Linked DNA regions of Nothobranchius furzeri. The protein of the gene in region 3 interacts with the protein of the main gene of each other region in a pairwise test. Links are inferred from orthologs where the notes say so. Each region holds a gene or a part of one and is shown on either strand. Other genes may lie near its edges. The genes, in order: enoph1, homer2, rnf41 and asb6.

Region 1 (5,257 bases), on a different chromosome or scaffold from region 3:
GGTCTTAACTTGAGGCCCTCTCTTCATTGGTCAGTCTGCATGAGACTGACTCTCAACTGACGTTCAGTCATAGGCAGCGAAGCATCTCTGTGCAGCGCAAAAGCCCGGGTGGACAGTTTGTTTAATGTAGGGTGATCATATTTCCATTTCCAAACAAGAGGACAGGGGATCTGTGCCTATGACGTCACACTATGGCAACGCCAAACAAACTATGTTGGGACCCATTTTTTGTAAGAACTAAATTAATATCAGATTCTGCCAATAAAAGGGCTCTAAAACAATTCCTATGTAAATATTTTGCATATTTAATGCAAAATCTAATTTTTCTGCTTTAGTGCTGCAACAAGGTTTTATTAATAATAAATTATTATACCTTTTGTTTTACTACAGCATCGGTAAGCTTCCTGTGCACAGATTATTAAGGATGCTTGTTTCAGCTGTGAGATTAGACGATAGGATCAATGAAAAAATAAGTTGTCACACACTCCATGGAAACTTTCAGAGAATCCACAAATGGTGGCTTTCACATGGTTTTGTTACTTTTAAAAAGTTTAGAAAAGCAGCAGATGAGACAGCATGTCTGATCATTTAGTTTTTCATCTGATAATATTAGAACATGTCAGTAATGTCTGAGGGGCTTTTATAAACACTGTATAACTAACACTACTGGAGAGGGTATGAATTACACAGAGGCTTCTGGGGAGCCCAGTTATGGGGGGGGGGGGGGGGGGGGCATTTTGCTTTGGCCCCCAAAATGTCTTGAAACGGCCCTGGGTGTGTGACTGAGTTTTGAAGGTGATCTGAATTGTATCAGATGTATAAATATAACATGTGTATGTATAACTTATTGTTTTTTACAGGTAAAAACGTGTAGTGGAGATAAATCTGCCTACTTTTTACTTTTCAACACTTTGTTTTGTTTTCTTGTTTTTATTTAACTATTTTCCTGTCCTGTCTGTCTCTCATCTTCCTGCATCTCCTCTTAATTCTCCAGAAAATCTGTTGCCTGGATTCTTACCTTTTCACCTCATCAGTTACTTTTGAGCAGATCAAAGGGATCTCCTGACCACACAGCGGAGAGCGCGTTTTCGATGCTGCGTGAGGTGAAATCACCACAGCACAGGTGATGAGCTCCGCAGTAGCGCGCTTCAGGCACAAATAAGACAAAATAGAGAACATGTGCGGACATGAACGATCGTGTGCTAATTATAGTTTTTTGGTTGAACCACTTTGAGAATGGACCGTGCGCTGGAAGCAGCTGCCTGGATCGCTGCACAACAATGCGGAACCGGTTCGCAGCAGCGCAAGTCTGCCGGCTCTCCCTCGCGCTGATCTGCCGGTACCGGCTCTCCCTCGCGCTGATCTGTGGGCTCTCCCTCGCGCTGATCTGCGGCTCTCCCTCGCGCTGATCGGCTCTCCCTCGCGCTGATCTGACTTGCTCTGGTCTGCGCGCAACGGCGGGCGGGAAGGGGGGGCGCTTTTGGAAGAGTTGTGCGACACAACGAATCGATGACGCAATTCGTTGCCAACGCTTTTAGTAATCGATTTTCATCGAATTTATCGATTCGTTGTTGCAGCCCTAGTCCCTAGACAGCTACTGTATTTTAAGATGGTGGATGACCATGGAGCGTCGACCATAGTTTATGTATTTAAAAACGTATAATTTCAGGTTGAGAGGAATATTTAGAATTGATGTTGGTGAGAAATATTAGTGAAAAAGGACAAGTTTGTCAACTGTAAGCACAGGATTTGATAGTAAACTGGTAAAAACATCACACTGTGGCTTTAATCATACCTTTTTTTGTATATTAAGTTTATTTAGACAAAAAAAGTAAAAAAAAAAACAACTGCATTTGTTGTTATTTGAGTGAATTTGGTAGACTTTTATTTTTATTTAATAACTTAAACATTTATTGCTAAATCAAAATGCATTAGTTGTTTTTTAAACTAAAATGTGTTTTCTTCTTTTTTTTCTATTATCATTAAATGCTTATTACAATTTCTCATGAGACAACAACACATAATAGAAACATACAAGGCATCTTTAGTAACAATAAAAGAAAAACAAATAAGAAACTTAAAAAGAGGCACTTATATCACAAAGTAAAAACATTGTTACAAGATTAAACATTTTTCTGCAGCATGACAAATGGCTTTTGCAGTTGCATTTGAATTTTTTATACGAGTCAAAGTGGATAAGAACATATGGAATTCATTTGTGAAACAGTTCATGTTTGGCAGTTGTTTTTTCCATTTGCTTTTGTGGATGTGGTATTTACCCATAATAATAATAATACTGTTAATTAACAATGAATTATTCCCCTTTAATTTAGAATTGTAAATAAGAATATCTTCATTTGTAAAATGATCAAGTTCTCTTATTTTATTTCTTAACCAACAATGGACTTCTTCCCAAAACCTCTTACTTATATGACAGCTGAAAAATAAGTGTTCTATTTCTTCAGGGCTTCCCTGACAGAATTCACAAGGGTCAACTTCAAAACCAAATCTCTTCCTCAGTGTCTCTGCTGATGGATAGTAGTTGTTGAGAATTTTAAATTGCATTTCTTTTACTTTGGGCTTTATAGGCCATTTTATAAATTGTAATTGTTTTTCTTCAATTATTGGATTTCCTTGTATTTTTATTTTAATCTTTCTATCATAATCATGATAGATATATTTTTTAAGGCTCCATTTAAATATTTATTTTCACTTTAATTTCACTTTAAGGCTTTAATCATACCTGTTTCTTTAGCAAATGCACATCTTGTTTGCACTCGTCTTCCTCCCAGTGAGTGGACAGGTGATCCTCCAGATGCTCCCTGATGTAAGGAAACAAAATATCCTGGAAAAGTGACAAAGCCCGGAGTGTATTAGTTTTCAGTTGTTAGAAACAGGCAGTTTTTAGCCGTATGCAACTGTTAGCTCTTTACTTAGCATTACGGTTGGACCCACCTAATACAATAAAAACAAATGTAACTCACCTTAACGAATGTAATTGGTGTAGTGGTTCCCTCGATGTCCAACAAGATTGTTGTAGTGCGAGCAGGAATAGAAACAGTGGCCATTTCTGTAACTAGAATAAAACACAAGGATGGTGGAGGTTCTTATCTTAGCTAACGATAGCTTAGCTTAAATAGTGTGGTGTTACAGCGAGGCTCTGTTCCCACGTGCGTGTCCAGGTCGAATACCGCAAAACCGAGATTATAAATGAGCAGGAAATGGCTTTAGTTGATCTCTGCTACGTGATTATTCAAGCCATTACTTTAGCGAACACACAATGCAACAACTAACTCACATGTTCCGGTCTGACAATTCACCTCCAACTCACTAGGTGACGATACTGAGTATTTTAATAGCAAGGACTCATCATTTAAAAACATATTTTGAACAGTTTACAATTAATAATATTTTGTTTTGCATGTCAGAAAATAATTAGAATTCATTGTTACGTGTGTGCTATTTCTTTGAGGGTGTTAGCTGACTAGATAAATATTCTACGTAAAACACACACACCGTATATTTTCCATTCAATTTTTAATTTTCTCTTTACGTTCACTTGAAATTATAATCTGCCGTTCAAAGAACGTTTATTTTAACCGTGTTTAATGTTTACACTTAGATGTTGTATAGGTTACCCCGTCTGAAACTGTTCGCTGCTGTCAGCATCAGCATGGTCGTCATAGGTGTTCCTCGGCAAATATATTTGTGCGACTGCGAAGACAAAAATGTTAGGTGAAGAAAATATATAACTTAAATTATGTACTTTTTGATGAGGCGAGTCGGATGTGCGATAAAGCTGTGTGAATCTCTTTACATCTGAACCGAACACAAGGGGGCAGGGCAAAGCCAGTGGGAGAAACAGTTTTCAACGGGGTCACACATTTCGACGTAACACCGGCACGTTTGGGTGACGCTGTTCCCGGTTTGGTTTCCTAATTCATCCGTTTTTAAAACAGAGAAGAAGAATCCGGTGACGGTGATAAAAAACGACACAAAACGACGCTCTTATTATTAAAATAACATTTGGAAGATAGTTAATTATCAGTTTAAACGCTTTAAATTTCTGTTAATCAAAACCTTAGATGTTTCCGTGAAGAAGCTACACGGTTTGCGTTTGCTTCGTTTTTTTATCTGATGGTATTTGATAATAAATATTAGCTAGCCACTAGCTATCTGTAGCGCAACTTCTATTTTTTTGTGAATTTGTATTTTCTCAAAAATTCCCGGTGCCGCTTTAGTTAAAAATTAGGTGCCTGAAAAAACCAAAATATGTCGAAGGATTATGAATTCAGCGAAGGCTCGAGCCTGATGAGAATGGAGGAGGATGGAGATGCTAACAACGACGACCCGATGTCCGCTAGTGGGGACTGTGGCCTGACGATGGGAGGCGAGGCCGAAGGGTCGAGGATTGACGCCAGTAAAAACGAGGAGGACGAAGGGTATGTTACTGTTCCAGCTTCATAACGCGGTCATTTATTATTTCACTCTCAGTCAAAGCTTTTGGACTTATATGAAGGATATACAACATGGATGCTACATCTGCATAAGTACATATAGAGACAAATTCAGCAAGGAAATCGGTAAGACTTAATACATTTACACAATTATAAAGATGTTTATGTTGAGTAGTCAAAGTGAGAATAACGGGACACATTTCTTTAGCATGTTGTTGACTCTGCTGTCTCACTCCGTTTAGATATAACCATAATCAGTTGGAATGCAAGAAAATCAATGCTGTGATATTTCATGTCACTGAATCAATATTTCTCGATGTTTGTAATTCACAATTTAAATGTTAACATTTACTGTAATTATTTTGTTTGATGCAATTCAAACTCTGACTGCTAGGTAGCAGCAGTTTTACTGCCTTCATTCTGATGGAACGACAAGATCTCGAGAAAACGCTGGATGTGTCTTGAAAGCGTCTGGAGTGATTTAAAATTAAATTCAGTCTTTAAAATAGCTAATCATGTGGCTTTTAGTATTGCATTATATCGTATCATCTCCCCTTTATTGTGATATTTGTCATATTGTCAGATTCTTGCCCTAATAACATGGTTATTTGGAGGAGGGCTTAAGGAGAGACACTGCACAGTCTCCCCTTAAGACCTCAAGTTACTTTGGTGTTAGGGCTGGGGGTAAACGATTAGTTTTAAAATGATTATTCTGACGATTATTTTATCGAATAGTTGACTTTTCTAATGGCGATTAATCTAATTATTATTTGTCTATTGCACAATTAATAAAAACCAGA
Region 2 (4,578 bases), on a different chromosome or scaffold from region 3:
GAAGCGCTTTAAAACTTCTTGGTAGACGGCTGCATTGACCTTGGACCTCAGATAACACAATGGACAAACACCAGCAGATGACATGGCACCCCAAATCATCACTGACTGTAGAAACTTTACACTGGACCTCAAGCAACATGAATTCTGAGCCTTTCTCTCTTCCTCCAGACTCTGGGGGCCTTGATTTCCAAAGGAAATGCAAAATTTACTTTCATCAGAGAACATACTTTGGACCACTCAGCAGCAGTCCAGTCCTTTTTGTCTTTAGCACTTTAACATGTCTGATGCCGTCTCTTGTTCATGAGTGGTTTGACACACAAGGAATGCGACAGCAGAAACCCATGTCTTGCAAACGTCTGTGCGTGGTGGTTTGCTGACTCCAGCTGCAGTCCACTCTTTGTAAATCTTCCCTACATTCCTGAATGGGTTTTGTTTTCACCATCCTCTCCGGGGTGCCGTTATCTCTATTGTGGTCCACTTTTTTCCTACCAGATCTTGTCCTTTCCTTCTCCTGTCTATTGGTGTGCTTGGACACTGAGCTCTGTGAGCAGCCAGACTCTTTAGCAATGATCTTTTGTGTCTTGCCCTCCTTGTGCAAGGTGTCAATGGTCGTCTTTTGGACAACTGTCAAGTCAGCAGTCCTCCCCATGATTGAGTAGCCTACAGAACTAGACTGAGAGACCATTTAAAGGCTTTTGCAGGTTGGGATGTTGCACCAGAGGTCTTCAAAATTGAACCTTTTCACAATATTCTAATATTCTGTGACTCTGAATTTAGGATTTTTATTAGTTGTCAGTTATAATGATCAAAATGAAGTCAATACACATTTGAAATATATCTGTGTGTGTGTGTGTGTGTGTGTGTGTGTGTGTGTGTGTGTGTGTGTGTGTGTGTGTGTGTGTGTGTGTGTGTGTGTGTGTGTGTGTGCGTGCGTGCGTGTAAACTCTTATTTAACAGCAGAGAGAGTCCAGTTCCAGAAAGCGAGCCTGTTGTTTTAAAGACCAAAATGCTGCAGTCTCACCTGCTCCTTCTCCTGCAGCTCAGCCTCCAGCTCCTTCACTCGAGCGGTCAGCTGGGCGTTTTTCTGCTTCTCCTGGTTGGCTTCGTTACACTGGGCCTCAAGTTCTGCAATCTGAGCAAAGAATAAAACAAGAGGGTTCCCTTTTAGTCAAGTTTCATCTGCCGACAAGACTGCTTTTACTTTATTAACGTTTTATGACATTTATTGACTTGTGTATCAATCTAGTCTCATCTTGAAAACTGACATTTATTGAAACAGAACAAGGAGCGGCAGCATGCGACTAAAGTGTTGTTGCAACAGCAGCCCATGCCGCTGCAGAAACAGCCCACATTGATTATGAAACTAAAATGATTCTATTTATAGTGGACTCAGACTTGTGCTGGGAACACTGAAGCTAATGAAACGTAATGCATTCTGATTTCTCGCCATAGAGAAATCAACATTTACCTCATCAATATTACAGAAGGGATTCTCTTATCATGCTTGACAGATTTTAATATATTAACTCAACTGGTGGGGAGCATCAAATCATTTATCTACTCTTCGTCAGAGGCCACTACAGAAATCTTAAGCTGTCACTAGTTTCTCCACCTACAGGACTGATGTGTGTGTTGTGTGATTCAGCCTTCCTGTAGGACACACTGTGGCTACCTTTTGCCTGAGCGCATCACTCTCCTCCTTGCAGGTGCTGAACTGTTTCTTCCAGCTCTCTACATTAGAGGAAGACTCCTGCAGTGCATCCTCCAGTCTGGCGTTATTTTCTTTTAAAGTTTGGAGCTCCGTTTCCCACTTCTTGGTGTTGGCGTTGCTGCCAGACAGGAGAGACAGAGACATATTAATGGGTGTTAATGATGGAAGTGAAATTGAGACTGAGCAGAAGTGAAATGGCTGAGTCTTGTGTCTACTGACAGGGCACATAATGCTGCAAAAATCCTTCTGTAATGATTTAAAATTAGCCACCATCATGCTGCCAAGTGGTATTCAGGCCCAGCAAAAGGCATAAGTTAAATAAGTTCTTATTATATTTTGTGTATCAACACACAGTTAGTTTTTTAGATGACAGGGTGCATGCGTTTCTTCTAAAATATGGTTATGATTCACATCGCTATTTGCATTTTTCATGCGTGAGTGGTTTAAAATGTTCTAGCCTGTATTTAATGTGGATAAGCTAGCACAGCAGCATCCTGCTGCAACATTTCCACAAAGATAAACCCCAAAGCCCCGTAGAGGACCGGGAAGGACCAACGGGGACAGAGAATAAGCTGAACGTTTTAACAACAGGAGCAGGACACAGGGATCTGATGCCAGGATTTTTTCCTTTTAACTATTTTTTAAGTGACCCATAACACGATTCTAAATGTTTAGAGTAATTATGCTGAAATTATTGTCTTTACAATATAAAATTTTCCATTATTTATTTATATTATTTTATTGTTTATTTAAATCATGAAGACATCACAAAGTCCAGGAATTATTTAAAATTCCTTAACAAAATAAAAGCTGCCCAACATCGTGTTTTATGAATTAAGCTTGTGTCCTTGAGGACAACGTTGGTTATTGTTTTATTGTTGGAGTTGTGAGAGTATAAAAAAGTGGATTTTTTTTTATTTATGCAAAATGTTATACTTAATTTTTTTTTTTAAATCAAGCCCTTTTATGCATTAAAGCAGTTACAGAAATAAAACACAGGAATCCTTTAAATCTATGAAACTAAACATTATCTACAGCTGTAATGGACATTTCCCAACTTGGTTACACTTTAGATTTTCTCCTTTTCCCACCTGGATAAAATATGACTCTCTTTACCATTTTCATAGATACCCAGATTTAATTTAGGCAAAAACCACTTAGTGTAGCCGTTAATTGCCTTCGCCATCCCGAGGTCATTTTGATCCCATCTGGAAGCACATCTGGCGTTTCATACAATAACAGATTTCCACGCATTGGGATTAATGAGTTCAGATAAGCTAACAGTGGAGTGAAGAGTGAATCGTTGTCATTTCTGTGACATCATCTGAGCAGAAATGAAATAAATTGTTCTTCCCAAGTTTTTTTGAAATAAAACCTTACCTCTGCTCTACGACGCTCTTCAGACGTTCGTTTTCAGTCTTCAGCTGGGCGGCCTCTGGACTGACGATGGAGATTTTTTCATCATCTGTTCCGTTAAAGCTTGACGCCTGGTCGGCTGAAGGCGTCTGGCGTTCAGACTCCTAGCAGGGAATAAAATACAGGGGGGGGGGAAGTATTACGATACACTCTCTCTATGTGTAACAAATGACCAGGTCTTACTTCTGCAAAGACCTTGAGCACGCAGTCAGCAGAAGGGTGAGAAAATGCTGTTGCAAATATTTATCACATCATATTGGCCGGCAGCTTTGTGGGTCAGCAGCAGCAGGAGATTGATAACTCAGACAACATTTTAAAAAAGAAGTATTTTTTCATAAAGCCTACTTGTTCTGACTTGATGGCTGCTCACCTTCCTAACCTATGGTGTAAGATGACCCTTGACCTGTCATTTATGAATGTTCTAGATTTTGTTGACATTCAAATCAACTTATTAACAACTAGAACCCATAAACTCTCTCTTCCTCTTAACTACTGGTGATTTTTTCCTCTACTGTACCCAGCAGTGGGTGGGTGAGGCCTTACCTGAGAATTATTAATCACCATCTCCACCTTCTCTTCAGATTTGTCCCTTGCCATTTTGGCAGCATCTTTTACTTCCTGAAATTTTTCAGCAAACTGAAAACACAAGACAAAAGACTGATCGAACAAGCTAACCTCCCATAGGAAATTACAAATGTAATCATTTTTAAACGTTTTGGGTGAATGATGAAGTTAATTATCCAGAATCTCAGGAACAGATAAAACTACTCCCTTCAAAACCTGAAATCCTTTACAGCTTCATGGTGATTAAAACCATCTGCAGTCTCCAGCCAACATGAGTGGCTTTCTACAGAAATGTTTCATCTCACCTTTGACAGCTGCTGCTCTGAAGAAAAACCCAGTCCAAACACCGTGTTGGCCCTGCTGTCTGCCCACTGACCAAACTTCTGTGACGTTTTGGTGAACGTCATGTTGGGTGTGATTGTGCTGTTGATGATAACCTGTCAGGAATAAAACAGCCAATTACATTTCTTGAGATCTGACCGGTCATCGATGGAGTCAGACTAATATATTGACTTCCAGGATCGTTCTCATAGATTTCCATCAGGATGGAACATGCTCAGCTTGATGCTGCTCAGTCACACTCAAATGAAAACATTATAAATATTCATTAACGTAGTGCAGGCACATTAATCTCAGCAACAGAAAACAGTGTCCTAAAAGTTATTTTACTCAACAATCATAGATAAATGGTCGTACTTCTGTTAATCAACCAAAGACATCAAAAGGTACAAATACTCTGCAGCAGCGACTACTGACCCAGTAACGTTTACTCAAATTTTGGTCCATATTTCTTACAGAACATGTTCACTGTCTGTAGCCAAGGTGACCGGGTGTCCTTTGTGTGGAACTGCACAACATTTAGTCCCTCGTCCCTTGTCCCAAAAGCT
Region 3 (5,328 bases):
TACGGGGCACAGGCCGGAGGTGAGCAAGAGTGACCACTGTGCGGTCAACAGGACAAATCTGCTGCTGGGCAAACCACTGTGTTATACAGGCGTTACAGAATGCATGTTCACAATGTGGAGCCTAAAATTAAAACAAACCCAAAAAAAAAAGTATAATTAGGATGTGCAACAACAAACTTTGGTAGAACAGATTTCATACTTGGGACCAAACTATATAACGATCTGAACACGAGCAGATTTTATTATTTATACATGTGGTTGACTTACCTGGACTGGTTCTTCAAGCACTCCACTACATATTGGACACAGCAGGTCTTCATCTACCTCACCCTGGAACCTCGTAACGTCGTACCCCATGGTACACAACCTACAACCTCCTGAACAACACAATTTAAAAAAGATTAAATATAAACCACCTACACATAGTAGGTATATTAGCTGTTTTAATGTAATTAAAAATTTCTTTGTCAACAAAATAATGTAAAGGAGGAATGTGATTGTCCCAAATCGTATTGTAATGGATGACCCAGATGCCTTTCAGAAAGCAGAAATGGAGATACTTGGCAATGCTTGTACTGCAACCTGATGAGCAAATGTTTCTATTATCACTCTAGCCATTTTTACAAAACAATGCCATTAATTTGCCGCAATGCCGTGGCAGCATCAGGGAGCCTTAGGTTGTTCATAAGTGGTCAGACTGTGGCGGTAATGTGGTGCAATCGTGTCCTTTTTATAAGATTAAGGCGGTGTGTATTGTAAAAGGGCTTCTGAGATGCTGAATTATTTAATCTCACCCCCCCCCCCCAAACCGAAAGTATTTTACACAGATTTCAACACAAGAAGGTGACATGTTTCATCATGTTGTTTATTATGAAGAGGAAGAAAATATCATTTCGATAGCGCTTCTCAAGATAAAAATCACGAGGCGCTTCACAAAAACAAAAAATGAAAAAATATAAAAAAGAATTTAGAAAATGGTTAAAAATATATTTTAAATGAGCAAAAAAAATGGGCAATTGTAATTAAAAAATGTTAAGAAAGAGAGAGAGTGAACAGGAAAGAGGGAAATCAGTGGATCCTGAGGAAGGTGGAATAGGTGGGGAGAGCAGAACAAAAAGAGAGAGGTGAAGAAGGTCATACAAAAGCCAGCTTGAACAGGTGAGTCTTCAGCTGCTTTTTAAAGGAGACCACTGAGTCCACTGATCTCAGGCTCAGGGGGAGAGAGTTCCAGAGTCTGGGGGCCACAGCAGCAAATGATCTGTCACCTTTGGTCTTTAGTCTGGTGCTGCACAACCAGTAGGCTTTGATCACCGGACCTCAGGGACCTGCTGGGGGTGTAGGGACTAAGAAGATCACCAATGTAAGATGGTGCTTGTCCATGTAAGGCCCTATAGACCAGAACCAGGATCTTGAAATGAACCCTGAAGTTGACTGGCAGCCAGTGAAGCTGGAGGAGAAGCGGAGTGATGTGGGTGTGTTTGGAGGACTTGGTCAGAAGCCGAGCACAGGCATTCCGAACCACCTGTAGACGGTTCAGGGAGGTTCTGCTCAGACACGTGAAAAGAGAGTTACAGTAGTCTAAGCATGAGGAGATGAAGGAGTGGAGAACTGTCTCAAGTTCAGAGCGGGACAGAATGGGACTCAGCTTAGCAACGTTCCTGAGATGGAAGAAGGAAGAGCAAACAAGAGAAATGACATGAGAATCCAGGGTGAGAGCTGGGTCAAAGGTCACGCCAAGATTCCTGACAGAAGGTTTGGTGTGGGAAGCAAGCTGACCAAGAGAGTCTCTGACTTTGGGAACCAGCTTGTCTGGGGCACAGATGAGGATCTCAGTCTTATCTTCATTCAGCTGAAGAAAGCTCCCAGCCATCCAGGTTTTGATAGAGTCTAAGCAGGTGTGTAACAGCTGCAGCTTAGACATCTCATGGGGCTTAAAGGAGATGTACAGTTGGATGTCATCTGCATAAAGATGGTAGGATATTCCTTTGAAGGAGCTCAGGATGTGCTGAAGAGGAAGCAGATAGAGGAGGAAGAGCAGAGAACCTTGTGGGACACCATGGGTAAGGGTGGTGGTGAAGGACCTAAACTTGGAGACGGCCATAGAAAAGGAGTGCTCAGAAAGATAATGTAATATAGTACAGTAACTAATTCTTTAGCTCACTGTTTGTATATATGTGTGTGTGGTTGTTTTTTTACATTTACATTTATACACTTGCTACGCTACTAAATACCAGTACTGTGAAACAAACCTGGCTAAAACTAAGATGAGAAGGGTTTTTTACACTATCTATGAATAATTACTATCAAAAAATGATTGACATTTTGTCAAAATAATAATTTACAGTTCTGGTTAGAACATCTTGTTTACCTCAAACACAAACTGCCTCAAATATTTCCATTCAGCTCCTCGATTCCTCACATCTGGCAGAAATGCTCTGCCTGCCTAAAAAGACACAGACCCTGCCTGAATAAAAAGGAAAAAATTATTGCATTTAAAAAAAAACTTTTAGTCTGATGATTGTAAACCACATATGCAAGAACATTAAATCCCATATCACGTATACACAATGTACTCAAATGAGTTTAACTAGCTGAAATCTGAGATTAAGTACTTTCTAAAAAAATTTACCATACCGACAGTTTTTTTGGAGGATAAAGAATTTGAACTTTAAATTGAGCGTAGCCATTTTCATACATATTCACATCCTCAGGCTGACTTTTCAACGTGATTTTACAATAAACATATTTATCTACTGTCCTGGTTAACAAATGAATGATTCCAAAAAATGAAAAGAAACAGCTTTGAGATCAACATGTTTCCATCATATTTCAGAGCAAGGAGCACAAAACTTAGCTGAGCATCGAGGTTTCTCAATGTTATCTTCACGCATATAATAACACTTTAAACTAAATCGTAAAAACTTGATTTTTAATAACGTAAACATGCGTCAAAGAGAAAAATATCTTAATGGTTTACAAAGTACAGCAGCACAGTTTGACTGTCACGATTTCTGAATATGTAACGTTAGCTAGCCCAGCTAGCGGCTACGCTGTCGTTGGTTTCCTTTGGACATTAGCTATAAGCTAACCAGACTGACCTCCGTTAGAGACAACTTCACACACCAATAGCTGTTTACAGTCAGCTGCACTGCTCAAGATATAACAGCTGACTGATATACTTACTCAGACATTGAGTAAAATAGATCCTTTTCACAATTCAGGCTGTTTTCAGACGTCGTACCAACACTAGCCCCTTGCTAATCACGTCTTGGTGCTACGTCATACAAGTCTACGTCTCAATCGACACGAGGGGAAACGTCATCACGCAAAACTGCAGAAATCCCAAAAGTGAATTTTATAATGAAAAATGTCTCTCTTACCGAAACAATGTTAATCACTAACACTGTCGAAAATGTCCTTATCCGGTTAAAACTTTCATAACGGACTGCTGTTTCTTTGTACATTCTTTTTTTAATTGTCTGTTTGTTAATCAGTTTTGGGTAAATAATTGTATAAACATTAATCCGGACTTCAAGTTATAATGGAGAAATGTGTTATTTGGGTTCCTCAGAAATGACATTGAGATTAAAAAAACACATTAATATTATAATAATGTAAGCTAAATGCCATGTTGAAAAGTTTGTTTGTTTTCAAGAGCTCAGACAATACATTTCCTCCATTATGATTTCATCCAATAAAAAAGCCTCAAATGGATCAATTTTGTGAAATAATTGTTAAGCATCAGTCTAATGTGCTCTGTTATGCTCTGTTATGTTATGCATCTGTGTAAATTTGTAAATAAGAATGTGTGTGTGTGTATATACATGTATGCTTTTATACTGAAAAGTACCTGTAGAGGAAGTTAAACTTTGACCTCGTAAATTGACCAATAAAAGGGAGCATTGGTGTTTTAGTGGCCGCAATCAGTGTGTGCTACCACCAGTGAAGGCCCGTGAAACAGACGCTCTGTTTATGGATTTATTTCCTCCTTTTTTTAATCCTGGAGATTCATTTTGGAGTCTTGGACCAACCGCTGGGTAAACGAAACTCTGCTAACAGGTTATGGGCCCAGCACGCTTCCGCTGCGCACCAAGCTAATCAGGACAGCTGGGAAAGCATCCTGCTAGCGTGTGAGGAGCACAGAACCGACCAACAGCAAGTCCGGTGAGTCGAGTGAGAGCTACGACGTGTGTCGGACACTATGAGTCGGAAGACAGTGGAAGCCAGTACCCGCTGGTCAAGACTGGTATTTGACGGAGACGAGGATAAATATGAACTGTGGGAAACAAAGTTTCTCGGACACCTCCGGCTACAAGGTTTGAAAGACATTATATTAAAACCGAAAGACGATGACGATGATGAGGAATATGATTCAAAGAACGCAGAGGCATATGCCGAACTTATACAATTCCTGGATGATAAGAGCCTTTCACTGGTGATGAGAGACGCAGCTGACGACGGGCGGAAAGCTCTAATTATCTTGAGAGAACACTATGCCGGGAAGGGAAAACCCCGCATAATAAGCTTATATACAGAACTGACTGCATTACAGCAGAAGAGCGGCGAGAGTGTAACGGATTATGTTTTGAGAGCCGAGGCCGCCATTACAGCGCTGAGAACCGCAGGTGAAACTTTGAGCGATGGACTGCTAATAGCAATGGTTTTAAAAGGTCTACCTGACTCATTTACGCCTTTTAGAATCCATGTGACACAAAGTGATGATGACATGACTTTTTCAGAATTTAAAAGTAAACTGAGAAGTTATGAAGAAACTGAAAAACTGCGTGTGGACACTGCCACAGAGGACAATGTGATGGCAGCACGGATGAATGAGAGGGTCAAGCACCTGAAGCCGAAATATGTTCAACCAAGCATGCACGAGCGGAGCGCTGATAGTAAAGACTTTATTTGTTTTAAATGCGGTAAAAAGGGACACAAAGCTAATGTATGTGACCGCAAAAAGTGGTGTAGGCATTGCAAGACCACCACGCACCAGACTGAAGTGTGCAGAAAGAAACACAGAGATGATGAAGCACGGAAAGCTGCTGATGACTACGAGGGAAAGGAATACGCATTCCGACTACAAGACGCTGACGGCGAGATGGACGAAACCAGAACCAGGAATCTGATGGTGGACACAGGAGCAACGTCCCACATTATCACGGATCCAGAGAGGTTCAGGAGGTTCGACGAGGACTTCGAGCCGAGGTCGCATTACATCGAGCTGGCAGACGGAACCCGGAGCAGAGGAGTGGCTGAACGGAGAGGAGAGGCTGTGGTAACCTTGATCGACAGCAGAGGGGTCCAACACAAGGTGGTGCTAAAGAG
Region 4 (5,230 bases), on a different chromosome or scaffold from region 3:
GCTGAACTGTCCACAGTCTTCATTTTCAGCTTTCTGGTTGATGGCAGCAGATTTTTATCCAGATTTTTGTCCCAGTACATTTCTTCACTCATCCTGCGTTCAATAATATGAAGTCCGCCAGTACCCCTTTCTGAAATGCAGCCCCACATCATGATGCTTCCACCCCAAAACCTAACTGTCATAGGTGGGCAGTGCCATTTCTTCTTCAAACATGGTGTGTAGAACGACAGCCAAAAGTTCAATTTTGCTTTCATCTGACCATACTACAGACTCCCAGTAACCTCGGCTGCACACTGAAAGCTTCAGCGACGTGGAACGGTTTACCCGCGATAATCACTGCACTTAAGTGCACACCAAGAGTCTCAGCAGCGAAGCAGCTTCTCTGCCATGCTCTTCGTTCAACTTGCAAGATCACAATATCCCTCGAGACTTCTGCCAACCTCCTCGCAAGACCACACGATCCCTCGAGACTTTAAAGGTTACGGTTTGTTAATGCAATCCACCATAAGAGGAGGGGTACCCAGAGTAGTTTTGGCTCGTTAAATAACAACAGACAGCTACAGCTTATAATTTTGACTCTCCCATATTCCAGTTAGAATTGACAAAGCTCCTCAGATGAGAAGTGAAACATCTTTGAGAAACCAAAGAAGTCCAGTTGCCCTCATTTGAACCTTTTTGGATTACCATGACCTGGATGACCGAGAACCTTCACCAGCATACAATCCACTATTGAACAAAAAAAGAAGGAAATCACGTCGTTATCGCTGTTTGATGTCATAAATTATGTTGTTCCTCTCCACTGCCAGGATAAAAGCCACGAAAACACACCGCTGCACTTTGGGAATGATGCTTTGAGTAAATAAACCGTTAGGTCACACGTAAGCTTCATAAATATGTAATTGCTTCACTGCAATACTTTTATTTAGAAAATTACTGGGGATTTTACACTGAAACTGATTTCCTGTCTAGCCCTATGTTAACTGCGATAATTGATGCATCCCAGAAGCGACTCACCACAAAAATAGAACCCGATCCTACTATGACGGTGCGACATGCTGCTTCTGGGACATGTCTGAAAATTGCCACACCGCGGCTGCTTTGTTACACTCCATTGAAAATAATGGATTTTATTTGAAGCAGTGCCGTTTCGCACCACTGACGCTTCCACTGTGCAGTAGGGGTTAAACTTACTGCACATTGGAAGCAAAAGTGGCAAGGTTTCACTCTTAATACTGACTGTAATTTCAGGTGGTCTCCTGGCTTTCTTTGCCATTTTGCACATTGTTACCCTCCTTCATGTATTTAATACTTTTTCCCTGTGTTATTTGTGTAAGCGGGGTAAGTTATATGTAAGTGATGTGTAACTTTATTACACATAATTTATGAACTTAAAAGTTTAGATGTCTTTGAATGAATTAAACACTTGAGTTGAAAGTGACTGATGGACATTTTGTGTCAGTAACTCATTTAGAAAAACGCTTACTGATGAAATTACTGATGTGTCCAGATAGGAATATCCAACCTCTGAAATGAGGGGTCTGTTGCTATGATGTGCTGCAAAGTCAAGTGCATAAAAATGTTTCATTCATACTTTAAATGAAGTTAAAACAAGTTAGTAAAATACAAAAAGTTTGAATGCATTTTTGATGACATTGCTGGTGTTTCAGCAGGTTCTTATTGTGTTTTTAGCAGCATTTATTATTGAGTTTTTAAACACTTTTATTAAATTGTTTAAACTCTAAAATTTTATTCATTTACTATTTTACTTAAATTTAAATTTCCTAAAACCATCTGCTTAATAAATGCTCTAAAACAACTGACATTTATTTTGATTTACCAGTTTTATAATGAAATGTTTCAATGCTGTGCAATGCACAAAATTAAAATTGATGGGTTGGTAAAATTCAGTGTTCAAAAACTGATTTAGGTTCAGAAATGTACACCCATTCTTGTTATTAACAAAATTTTAGCTTGCAAATAAGGAGGAAAACATCTAAATATCAGCCATGAAAATTAGCCCAAAGAATCAGGACCAACGATCAGCCATCGGCTAAACATGACCTTTACATACATGCATCTGATTCTGCAATAGAAAAACCCATATCAGAGACATGCAGCAATGAGATGAAGAGAAGAAGTTATCTACACGTAAAACACACATTTAACACTTACTACAAGGTAATATTGTAACAACAACCAAAGAGCATCTATGTCTCAATAAACATTTTCAGTAAATTTAGTTTTTGATATATTTGTGCATTACCGCACATCCCTAAATGAGCAATCCTCCTTTTTCCTGGAGTGTTTGCAAACTTGGACACACTATCCAAGGATGACTCACCTTCAAAGTTGATATCAGCTCCATATTGTAGAAGGATTTCTGCGGCATACTCAAGTCCCCGCTCGGCCACTTTAAACAGAGCATAGCTGATGCCTTCCAAAAACACTTCAGACTGGGACTCTTGTTCCAGAAGCTCCACCAAAGAGCTGCTTCTACTGGACTCATCCTCGGGACTTTTGGCACAACTGAAAGATAAGTAAATGTCTCATCCAAAGCTTTAAAAAAAATCAATTTATATTTTAAATGCAGTGGTTGTTACGATACAGAAACTGATCATGATATAAAAAAAATTACCCGTTAATGTAATGTTGTTGTTTTTTTTTTAGCAGAATTACCTGGTGTCTTGACTGCCATCTTCTTCCTCAAGTCCAACAACACGCATGACAGCATTTACAAGCGGCTGATACTCAAAAATGATCCTCCGGAACCCGTGGAGGAAAGGCATGGTTTTTACACTTGTACACACTCCAACAAAACTCTAGCGTGGCCAGAATCCAAAAGAAAATCAAAAAGGAGATGTGTCAGCGCGACTTACAGAGCGGGATTAAAAACAACGTGAGTTCAGCGGACCTCCATGAGTATGTAACAGAGCAGAAATTATGTAAAAATTGTGAATAAAACGTCTTAAATAAACGCTATCTGTTCATAGAAAGTAGGTCGATTTTGTTATCTCCCCGTGAACATATTTACCTCATTCGTTCATAAGACATCTAAAACTACAGATAATTGAAGCTTCACTGATTAAATTATTAGCTTTAATTATTTATACATTATCTTTGTCAAAAAAAGTGAATTTACTTAATGGATGAATAAAACTCTTACAATAATACAGTGCAGACTGGTACTTACGAGCCTTTGATTTCAAAACAGGAAGTTAACATGAACACCCCTGTGGTCCCACGGTGATTGCCTTCCCATTTAAACTGCATGACTAAAGTTCCGGTTTGCAGTGTAAAATAAAATAAAATAAAATAAAATAAAATAAAATAAAATAAAATAAAAATCATGTTGTTTTATATCTAAAAGGCTATGCGTTCAATTGGGAACAATGCATTCTAGTAATAAAAAAGGAAGCAAACTAAGAACCTATAGATCTGTTGAATTTATGTTTCTGAGCACTAACTTTGGAAAGATGTTGCTGACACTGATGAAACAGACGATTAGGCTAATTTGATTAAACACAAGCAAAGAAAAAGAAGCTGTTATGATACGTTTTATTTGTAATGTAGAACTTGGTGTCGGCTTTGAAGGAAAGATGATAAAAAAAATTGCAAAGCTATTAATTCCACTTCCATATGGAGAAATGTTTAGTAAAATTACTTGTTCTCTATTCAAATTTGATACTAGCAACTCACATGTGTAAAAGTTATTGTCGGGACACAATTGAACACTGTAAACATTTTTTTTAACAATAAATAATTTTCACTAGTCTAAAGATGGCCTAATATAATTTGGTATAATTTGCTTTAAAACCCTTCAAATGTTATTTCACTTGAATGAACATGTAAAATGCTGTCTCTTTCACTTTGGAGACACATTATTAAACTGTGGGTGATGGAGTTTCAAACTGCTCAAGATGGTCTTTAAAAGTTTCTTTTGAATGATTAACAGGCATTTAAAACATTAGTGTGGTAAAATGTAATAGGCTGGTTTTTGTTTCTGTGATTTAGATAATATTTGTGTTTGAATTTCACCCATTTTTTTTTCCAATATTAAGTTAGATTTCTCCTCCCTAATACAGTTTTTGCAGCTTACATTCATCTCCCCAAACACAACAGTACCATTAACATTTAACATACCACTTTCATTCAGCAATCAAATCACTGATAAGTTAGTAACTGACATGTCAGTTTTGACCAAGAAATGTTCTTTGTTTGTTTTTCACTACTGCAGTCATCTGGTGGTACTTTTTGTTTTAATTATTTGTATCTCCATAAGGTACATTATTGTCCAGCAGCAGGAATTCCAATTTTTACTACTTAATTTCATTGACAGCATCAGTTTTCTAACGTTTGCTTTTGTCCTGCTCAGCAAACGAACCCCTGAGTTGGTAACAGATGGCTGTCTTTGAAAACTACTGAGAAGGGCTCTCATACAAGATGTCACTTTTGAAACATGCACATTGTGTTTTCTGTGTGAGCTAACGGCAGCAAATTTGAACAAAACATATGTTGTTCTTGTCAGACTGCCTCGGGTATGTAGAGACGCAAAGGATCTGCTCTAGGAAACCCACTTTAATGTTTCTTTGCTTATGATATTAGGACAACTTTGATTTGAATAGCTGTAGAAAAAATAAGGAAAGATGCCAATCAAAAAATCTTAAAGTAAAACTCTAAAAACGACTGTTCTTTGAAACTTTGGATGCAGTTTGTGACTTCATTGCTGTGTGGATGCTCAGTCTTTAGGTGGCAGCATTGCAGTGCTCACATCCTGCCTCTAGGATCTATAATCCACAGCTGTTATTACACAGCTCATGCATCAGTAAACGTTTTTATGTGTGCATGAAAGTGAACTTAACTCATCATGTAAATGTGACCATGTACTGAATCCCAGACAAACTTTGCTGGTAGAATTCATTTGGCAAATTGAGAGCTCCACTTGTGTAACAGAAAACAGAATTCAGTCATTTGATCAGATTGATTCATTCTAATTTTGCCATATTTAAGGCAATTAACACAATCACAATCTGAGTAACCTGATCAATAAAGCAGTGCTCCTAGAATGTCTGCCCTTTAGAGCATATTATCTCTCAAAAGTCTCTTTTGCTCTTTTCACAGGTGTACTTAATTTATCCACAACCCATTACTAATAACCTTTCCTTTGCCGCTGCTGGTGAGTGAGTCTTTCTGAACAGTTTCTTCACTGTTCGTTTGTTGAAGCAGACAATCT

Evidence for each region.
Region 1: the proteins of rnf41 (region 3) and enoph1 interact in binary tests that used the Homo sapiens proteins (3 or more experiments, as listed by UniProt). The link is inferred for Nothobranchius furzeri from reciprocal best matches to the Homo sapiens genes RNF41 and ENOPH1.
Region 2: the proteins of rnf41 (region 3) and homer2 interact in binary tests that used the Homo sapiens proteins (3 or more experiments, as listed by UniProt). The link is inferred for Nothobranchius furzeri from reciprocal best matches to the Homo sapiens genes RNF41 and HOMER2.
Region 4: the proteins of rnf41 (region 3) and asb6 interact in binary tests that used the Homo sapiens proteins (3 or more experiments, as listed by UniProt). The link is inferred for Nothobranchius furzeri from reciprocal best matches to the Homo sapiens genes RNF41 and ASB6.

What each region holds. Positions count from the first base shown.
Region 1 is NC_091746.1:62,894,261-62,899,517, reverse strand, and holds the start of enoph1 (enolase-phosphatase E1), read right to left. Parts: upstream 3,606-5,257; 5' UTR 3,384-3,605; coding exon 3,299-3,383; intron 3,282-3,298; exon of another isoform or gene 3,077-3,281; coding exon 2,985-3,076; intron 2,846-2,984; coding exon 2,744-2,845; intron 1-2,743. Other genes in the region: heterogeneous nuclear ribonucleoprotein D0, read left to right, coding at 4,273-4,442. UniProt on the Homo sapiens protein: Bifunctional enzyme that catalyzes the enolization of 2,3-diketo-5-methylthiopentyl-1-phosphate (DK-MTP-1-P) into the intermediate 2-hydroxy-3-keto-5-methylthiopentenyl-1-phosphate (HK-MTPenyl-1-P), which is then dephosphorylated to form the acireductone 1,2-dihydroxy-3-keto-5-methylthiopentene (DHK-MTPene).
Region 2 is NC_091749.1:41,495,892-41,500,469, reverse strand, and holds part of homer2 (homer protein homolog 2), read right to left. Parts: intron 4,129-4,578; coding exon 3,997-4,128; intron 3,764-3,996; coding exon 3,671-3,763; intron 3,232-3,670; coding exon 3,092-3,231; intron 1,830-3,091; coding exon 1,673-1,829; intron 1,133-1,672; coding exon 1,022-1,132; intron 1,014-1,021; exon of another isoform or gene 999-1,013; coding exon of another isoform or gene 958-998; intron 1-957. UniProt on the Homo sapiens protein: Postsynaptic density scaffolding protein. Binds and cross-links cytoplasmic regions of GRM1, GRM5, ITPR1, DNM3, RYR1, RYR2, SHANK1 and SHANK3.
Region 3 is NC_091755.1:37,149,019-37,154,346, forward strand, and holds the start of rnf41 (E3 ubiquitin-protein ligase NRDP1), read right to left. Parts: upstream 3,309-5,328; 5' UTR 3,184-3,308; intron 2,465-3,183; 5' UTR 2,369-2,464; intron 378-2,368; 5' UTR 358-377; coding exon 268-357; intron 122-267; coding exon 1-121. Other genes in the region: uncharacterized protein, read left to right, coding at 4,202-5,328. UniProt on the Homo sapiens protein: Acts as E3 ubiquitin-protein ligase and regulates the degradation of target proteins. Polyubiquitinates MYD88. Negatively regulates MYD88-dependent production of pro-inflammatory cytokines.
Region 4 is NC_091757.1:35,485,965-35,491,194, reverse strand, and holds the start of asb6 (ankyrin repeat and SOCS box protein 6), read right to left. Parts: upstream 3,262-5,230; 5' UTR 3,191-3,261; exon of another isoform or gene 3,164-3,190; intron 2,820-3,163; 5' UTR 2,787-2,819; coding exon 2,677-2,786; intron 2,527-2,676; coding exon 2,342-2,526; intron 1-2,341. UniProt on the Homo sapiens protein: Probable substrate-recognition component of a SCF-like ECS (Elongin-Cullin-SOCS-box protein) E3 ubiquitin-protein ligase complex which mediates the ubiquitination and subsequent proteasomal degradation of target proteins.